2 linked regions of the Macaca fascicularis genome follow. The protein of the gene in region 2 purifies or fractionates together with the protein of the main gene of each other region. This does not show direct contact. Links are inferred from orthologs where the notes say so. Each region holds a gene or a part of one and is shown on either strand. Other genes may lie near its edges.

Region 1 (4,144 bases), on a different chromosome or scaffold from region 2:
TTTTACCTTGTCTACTCCAGCACTTAGGATGAAATTTCCTTTCTTATTCCATTTTAATGCAAATATAGGGCCTTTATGCTGCCCTAAGGTGCTAGCAAGGTTACCTAAAATTCAAAAGAAAAACAGTAACATTACTTTAAATTTTCTAACTTCAGATCAACAACAAAATAAAAAGGAAAATGCTTCATTTACCATCTTTAGTCCATATTCTGGCAAACCCATCATAGGAACCAGTTGCTAGAAGTGTACCTTCACTCTGCCAGAGAAAAACATTTCTTTAATTATATAATCTAGATACGGTTTATAATTTAATTGTTGTTGAAGTATTTCATGTTTAAATCCCAGGTACAGAAGAGAATGAAGACATTCTCTGCTTCAAAACTTGCCAGTTTTGCCTACTTGTGAGTGCCACTAAAGGCCTATGAAACCCTTTCACTGTTGTGAAGCTAGTGTTGTACGGGGGCCTTATATCCAAAGCTCAACAACGGACAGTAATAGCTCTGGACCAGGATCTACATCATCCCGCCTCATGCGTGCCCAAAGTAGTCTCACAGACTCACACAACTAAGAATGAAGGTAGGGTGGTGGATTGGGGCGAACATCAAATTCATAATGTTAGAATGATTTATTAGAAGTAAAAAAAGGAAAACTTTAAAATGTGATTAGAAGGTTTTATATGGCCATTCCTCTAAATCCTTTACTGTCTAAAACAAAGTGTGTGTGTATGATCCAAACAATATCATTGTTTCAAATGATCGGATTCTTAAACATTTGAATGTTCCTTTCTATTATTAATCCCTTCCCACTATGAAATATTTGCCAATAAAAAGAGCAACACAAGCAAAAGAGCCAGAAAAGAGCACAGGCTGACTTCATAGTTAATGAAGTAAGTATAACTGCCTACTTTACCGGAGGAAAAGTCCATATAAATTTCTCTCAACTTATATTCCCTTGCTATGCGCCTTGCCTGGATGAATGGTGTAATAACAGGACAGATCTAACTAACTCTATGCAAACGCAAAAGTTACAGATTATAGTAAACAGACTATTGCTAGAATGACTAAACATTACTGGAGAATGAAATCCTGCATTACTTGACATATTCTTGATGGGTTTTGGTAAGGGCATTCAAAACAAGATCACCTATTTCACATCTCTCAAGCCATTTTAGGAGTATGGCTAAGTGACAAACAAAAACAAATGCTGGTTCTGGGAACTGCAGACTCAGTTCTGCTAAGACATGGCAATCCCTTAGGGCTCTATCTGAAGAAGAAGGGGAGCCATGTTGAAGTCAACAGTAAAAGCTTATTTCCAGATTCTACACAATGTTAAGTTTCCTCTAAACTATCAGTCCCTAAATGTTTTAGTTCATGAACTGCTCAACTAGGAAAAGAATACTTTAAAGATGAGAAATCTCACAGGCTCTCTTGCTTTAGCCATGAAAAAGAATCATTAATCGAGGATGATGTTTTCCAAGCTTACCGTGATTAACACATTTTCAAAAAGCCCACACTTTTCAAAACTATAAAATGCAGTTCAGAACTACCAAGCTGAACAAACCAATATTCATTCATTAACCATCCTTTTCAGTGTAAACTGTAAATTTCATTAAATTAACATGACCAGTGGGCCAGGTAGCATAAGAAAGCTATAAGATGTCTGAACTAAGATACAATAAGGGCCTATATTAAGAAAATAATTCTATCTTGATCCTACAAGTAAATAATACTACAATGTGCAAAACCCCTTTGGAATTTTTAGAATTGTCATACGGAGGGGAAGAGTAAACATGCTGCTGGCAATTTTGGAAGAAAATGCTAAAAATACCCAGTTATGATTTCTGAAAAAACATGTCACAGAAACTGAGAACTTTAGCGGGAATAACGATTTTAAAGATAGATCTCATTCCTTGGGAAAAGAATTAGAAGATCCTTTAGAAAGCCCACAAAAGTTGTTAAATAGAAGAGAAAAGAACATTCATTTGCTGAGGAAGAACTACTATCGTGAGATATTCTTTGCAATGCTGAAATATATCTAAGAGGTTTGGGGGCGTGGCGGGGGCTAGCAGGGTGAGGTAAGAGATATTATTTACAACTAAACGATGACAATTTATCAACAATGAAGTGAAAGTTTTTTGTAAGTCAGAGTAGTCAAGTTGTCCTGAAAGATGTTGAATCATACATAGAATCAGAGAATTAGAAGATTCCTACAGTGGGAATAAAATTTAGACATTATCTAGACTAATGATCCCTAAAAGGAAATTGGTAATAAAGTTGTAACAGTTCACAGAACAAAGAGAAAAACAAGAACATGTTTTCTGCTACATAGAATTCTTTTATCCCCCAACTAAGAACTCGGTTGTTACGGATTTAGTATGTTGTTTGTTATTATGGTAAGAATTTTCACCTATTATCTCAAATATTTAGGTACCATTTTCACAGATCTACTTGACATTTAAGGAAAACGAAGTACAGAGTAAACAGTAACAATTTAACCAAGGAGATGCTGCGGGATACACTAAAGAGCTGGACATTGTACCCTGGTCTAAGGCAAGTTTGTGTCTTTAACACCACAGTGGAGGAGAGGGCTGGCAGGTGACGACTCCCAGTTTGTTGTTACTAGTTAATAAAACCCCAAATTCTGAACAAATAGACAAACCGTGCCATGAGTCTGAGGCTCTGAGGGTTAGGTATACTAGTAATTATATCCATCATGGATATAGTGATACTCACATTCCAATCTAGAGATGTGACATCCTTGTTGCTTGGAACATCTTGCCCTCCTTCTCGTATACAATGTCTAAGTACTAACTGTGTAGAGCCACTGGTGCTGTTCTCACTAAGATTCCATATTCTTGCTGTTGAGTCTCCAGACCTATAAAAGTATGCAATGTATTTTAAATCCTCATGACATTCTCAACTATCAGAATCAAGGCAACATATTTACATCTGAATATTAATAAGGCAAATAAAAACTAAACTATCACAGATTTTCATTTCCAGTATTTTTCCCATTCTACACATTGGGACCCCCAAGCGTTCTCGAAACAGTAAGTTTAATTAAAAATTCTACAATTACTTCATGAAGGAATAAAACATTTACAGAGACAAAATGGCCACAAATAAGCAACAACAGAAAACCTGAATAATGCATATGTTTATAAAATGCTCAGTAAGATATTTGTAAAAGCCATTTTAGTATCACTTTGAGAAACACACCCTGATGCTAGGAGATCACTAACAGGGTTCCAGGCACAGATGAAAACTTCAGATTCATGGCCCCGCAACACAACTGCTTTATTAGGAGGGATTTCAACATCCCCATCCACTTCCATCATATCAGTATGATTATCTGCATCGTGAAAAACAAGTAAGCAATTCCAGTTAGGCAGTATTACAATATGGCGGATGGGTGAATTCTTAACTAGCAAATACCTTCCTTTATCACATACAGGGTTAACATTATCAAGTTAAGCTGAACATGACTACACAGTCTTAGTCACATAGAAAATAAATTGGTACCTTTAATTAAGTATTGACCATACTTTTTTTTTAAGAGGGATGGGGGTGGGGGTGGGATGCAGACTTTAAATGATTAGACCTAAACATGGATAAAACGATAAAATGGTTTGAACTAAACATAATGTCTACCAGTACTATTCTGAGTTTCTGCCAGTAGGGGTTGCTGATATCATTCATATAACATGACTTGCCTTTTATCTCAATGTCAGAGCGCTATGGTATTTGTTGATAACTAGTATTACAATTTCATTTAGAAATCAAATGTAGATACAAAAATTCATTTAATGATGGGAAAAGGGCTTCTAGATATTTTAAAAAGAAAATAAAAGTAAATCTAGCTTTTTGGAGCTTCAGGAATAAAAATCTGATCTGTGTGATACAAGTTAAGAAAACAAGTTGGTGCAAATAACAGATGGAATTATTTCGGCATAGAAGATGGGACATTCTGTTAAAGCAAATATATTTCCTCTGAGAATAAATTTTTAAAAATTCTTATCTCCTGGGACCTTCCTGGGGGATGGAGGGTGGAAGAGGAGGATCAGAAAAAATAACTATTGGGCACTAGGCTTAGTACCTGGGTGATGAAATAGTCTGTACAACAAACCCCTGTGACATGAGTTCCT
Region 2 (4,144 bases):
TGCTCTTCCTTCCTTCCACACCTTCTATTCTCCTTCAGCCAAACCTTGCCCTCACATAATTCCTAAGCAGGCTATTTCTTATGGATGTCTACAACAGCTTCACACTGAGGTGTCAGAAACCACAAGAGAGACACAACAAAGTATGACTTAGGGTCTCAGTTGGAATCACAATGGCTGTATATGTGAAAACCCACATTTTTGCTTAGGGGGAAAAGAAAGGGAAAATTCAATTGGAACATTCGGCTTTACCACACAGAAGTTCTGAAATCCACACGTCAAAACATCAAATGTGGAGTGACCACTAATCAAAAAACAAAAACAAAAACAAACAAACAACAACAACAACAAACAGCTTGAGATGTTGAGCCTGAAGGAACCATTCATTTTTACAAAACTAAAGTCCACACAATGGTGCCAACTAGTTCAAACTGCAGCTGATACAGCACCTGAGTGTCAGACCTAGAATGACTTGGGCCCCCAGCTTTTTACAAATTACTCATCCTCCTCTAGAGTCTCAAGAACAGATGTATATCTGGGTACTCTCTTTAGTTACCATGGGAGGAGTGTGGCAAGCACATGATATTTATTAGTCATGGCCCCCGGTGTTCTGAGACAGCTTTCAGGAGGGTGTCCTTCTAGGGAACCAACCATATACCAGTTCCCATATCTGAAAATGCATTACCACTGCTCACTAACGCTGACCACTAAAGCATTTACTCCAAACCGAAGTAAACACATGCTGAAGACCGCTAAGGCAACAGCAGCAGCGCAGAAGGGCTCAGTGCAAGCGCTCTCAGCTCAGCTGACCTGCTTCAAGGTGAACTGAAGTTGCAGATCACCAGTTCCGGCTCTAATCTGACGCCCGCCCCCAGATCTCGCTGTAGCGACCAGGTAACCCTACCCACACTGACCTTTCAGGGCTCAGGGAAGTGACTTTTTTTTATTATATGGCACAGTTTGGCACAGTTATGTCTTTAGTCTTTGGGGTACTTTTATACTGTCCAAGAGTAGTATATTTTTTTCCTTTTTTCCTTTTTTTTTTTTTTTTTTTAAAAAAAAAAAACAGATGGCCAAACCAGGACATATACTAAAAAAAAAAAAAGGAAGGTTACTTACCTGAGCCCTAACATCCCAGCTACCATGGAATCCTGTTGGAGCTGGTCTACAGAAGCAAGGTGTATTCTGGGGAGTCACATGTCACATCAAAGCAGGAACTGGTGAGTCTGTATTTTTATGGAGCCTAAAACAAAGAAAATTGTAAGTTGAAAGCCCCCATTGAGCTGCACGACCTTTTTCCCAGGGCTATTTGGGACATTTTGAAGATAAACACACAGACAAAGTACTATGCTATTTCCCAGCTTACCTAGCTAGAAACAAAGGATAAACTGCAAATTACTGGCACGTAAGTAACACACAGTGCTAAAATAGAGGAAAGACTCATGCTTGTTAGAATCAACACTATCACAAGTCTTGTCACCTCTAGGGGACACTTCGACAGTACAAAAGCATACCATGAATGGTGATTTCTGGCCAGTATTTCTTCCACCACGTCACACAGAAATTCTCAGGGAAGAATACATATTCAAGAGAATATGCAACATCAAAATACCATCCCTGAAAGAACACATGGAACCTAGAGGCAGTCTCCCTTCTTTTGCAAGCAGCTGAATGAAGTTGCAATGAGCTGCTGTAACAACATCACATAAAGGGGCTTTAATCCTGAGAGAAAAAATCAGCACCATGGGAAACCAAGTGCTCTGGGAGACCCAAAGCCATCATCCAAAACATGCAAGTCTATTTCAGGGCAATCAGTTTTAAGCCTCTCAGATCAGTCAATCTCACTATTTAACAAACTGAGTTATCAGTTTGATAGTTTCTCTTTTGCTTTTGAACACATGTTCAAAAAAGGACTTTTGTCAGTACCATTTCTGTCATTAAGATAACCATCATTTCCTTGTTAAAGCCTAAACTGCCCCATATTAATTACCTAATTTCTGATACTATGCTGGCCCAAAAGTAGCACTTTTATAAGCTAAAAACAAAAGCTCAGAGCATACAACTTAGAGACCATCCACACAATTACTCATGTAATCAAACCCGGAAGAAGGGCAACACCAACCAAGTCTTTTACTGCTCTTTTGCTGCTCTATAGCTAACAGGATGGTATCTAAAATTATCTTTTGAGGTTCAGTGAGGCCTCATAATTCCCTTAAACAGTCAAGTCATAGAATACTTTGAAACCCCAGAAGTCAAGTTAATAGTATTACTCGGTTAGCTATCTAATAAAAACCAAACTGGTATCCTGGCTAGGAGGCCCTGGAAAAGTCACAACTTCTCAGGGACACAGGTTTTTTTTTTGTTTGCAAACTGATGGTGCTGGACTAAGGATCCTTCTAGTTCTTAAAGTTTAAGATAATTAACTTAAGATTTCATGTCAAAAAGAAAAGAGACAGAGGCTGGGTGCGGTGGCTCACGTCTGTAATCCCTGCACTTTGGGAGGCCGAGGCAGGTGGATCACAAGGTCAGGAGTTCAAGACCAGCCTGGCCAAGATGGCGAAACCCTGTCTCGACCAAAAAAAAAAAAAACCAAACCAAACAAAAAAAAAATTAGCCAGACGTGGTGACGGGTGCCCGTAATCCCAGCTACTTGGGAGGCTGAGGCAGAGAACTGCTTGAATCCAGGAGGCAGAGGTTGCAGTGAGCTGAGATTGTGCCACTGCACTCCAGCCTGGGCGACAAAGCAAGACTGTCTCAAAAAAAAAAAAAAAAAAAAAAAAAGAAAGAAAGAAAAGAAAAAAGAAAGAAAGAAGCCAGAAAATGAGAGCAGTTTGTGAAATCTAATAAAGAAAAAAGTTCATATATATATAAAACACCCCTAGCTCTTAGGCAAGGAAGACAAGTGCATCCTTACTAAGGTTTAGTCCTGTCAGCTTCAGAGGCAATAATGAGAGCCCAGACTACAGTGTCTACAGGAACTGCAAAACAGCCACACACCACAGCGGGGACACATTCACACGCCACCAGACCCAGCATATGTGTGCTTGAAGAAGTTATAAAGACTCAGGCTTTTTATTCTCTAACGAAATGGTCATTCTCCCTTTGATGTGGGGGTGGGGATGCCCTGCCCACCCCCCAATTCCGGCTCCCACTCAGTTATCCCACACACCATACATACCATCGAAGTATTTAAGCAATGGCATGTGAACCAAGCTTTTGACAGGAGAAGGTTTCTTGAAATAGAAAGGCAGAAGAAAACAGATAAAAGCAGAAGAGCTCAACTTCTACTTAAGCCCAAAGAAGAGGGACCTGTTCATGTCTTGTCCTACCCGGAATGATGCACATGCACAGGGCTTGCCCGGACAGCAGTAGTTTCACTGGAAAGGGCTGGTATGGAGGCACTGAGGACAAGGTCCTTCCATCGCAGCGGTGATAATGCTCTACCCAAGAAAAAGAGATTGTGTCTGCCAGCCACGCAAGACTGGTCTGCAAGGATGTCACCATAGTAGAGGGCAGGGAAAACAAGCAGGTGTCCTGCCACACTCTTCGGGACTGGCCAGTCTAGGAGTGTGCTTTACCCCATGCACTGAAAACACTGGTTACTAGAAATATCAAACATTTTCTGTGATTCTCTCCTCCTCCAAGATAACTCGGGCAGCTTGAGAACAAACTGCTTTTAGCTAATTAAAAGATTTCTGCAGATATTACCCTTTATAAAATATTTCAGGTTCTAGGACACGTCATTTATCATGCAGAGTCCAAAGCAGTGGAAACCAGGCTCCAATAAGGAACTAACAATTTTATCTCTGTTGTTCTTTATTTTAGGTTAAAGAAACGAACTTCTCATTTCATCTCCACATGGGAGGAATGTTCCAGAGGGGGTAACAGCCTATTAAACTCATCTAGCCAGTTTTTTTGTTTATTTTTTTTTCAAACTCCACAGCTTGCCTCCCTACTCCACTAGATGAGATTGCACAGAGGCAGGGCAGGCACGGGAAATGACTCTGGTTGGAAATTACAAACATATACACACAGAATGTAAGCACCATAACCCTTTGAATACACAGTGGTTTGTGCCTTGCCCCAGACCTACCTAAGTATTAAACAGCACAAAAGTCGGAGTTCTGCTGACTGTATGACACTCTCC

What was found.
Region 1: the proteins of MECP2 (region 2) and TBL1XR1 purify together in Homo sapiens (co-immunoprecipitation; 3 studies listed by BioGRID and IntAct, with this or other methods). This does not show direct contact. The link is inferred for Macaca fascicularis from reciprocal best matches to the Homo sapiens genes MECP2 and TBL1XR1.

The regions. Positions count from the first base shown.
Region 1 is NC_088376.1:88,764,635-88,768,778, forward strand, and holds part of TBL1XR1 (F-box-like/WD repeat-containing protein TBL1XR1), read right to left. Parts: intron 3,352-4,144; coding exon 3,219-3,351; intron 2,875-3,218; coding exon 2,733-2,874; intron 257-2,732; coding exon 193-256; intron 105-192; coding exon 7-104; intron 1-6. UniProt on the Homo sapiens protein: F-box-like protein involved in the recruitment of the ubiquitin/19S proteasome complex to nuclear receptor-regulated transcription units. Plays an essential role in transcription activation mediated by nuclear receptors.
Region 2 is NC_088395.1:160,161,713-160,165,856, forward strand, and holds part of MECP2 (methyl-CpG-binding protein 2), read right to left. Parts: intron 3,438-4,144; coding exon 3,327-3,437; intron 1,241-3,326; exon of another isoform or gene 1,143-1,240; coding exon of another isoform or gene 1,117-1,142; intron 1-1,116. UniProt on the Homo sapiens protein: Chromosomal protein that binds to methylated DNA. It can bind specifically to a single methyl-CpG pair. It is not influenced by sequences flanking the methyl-CpGs.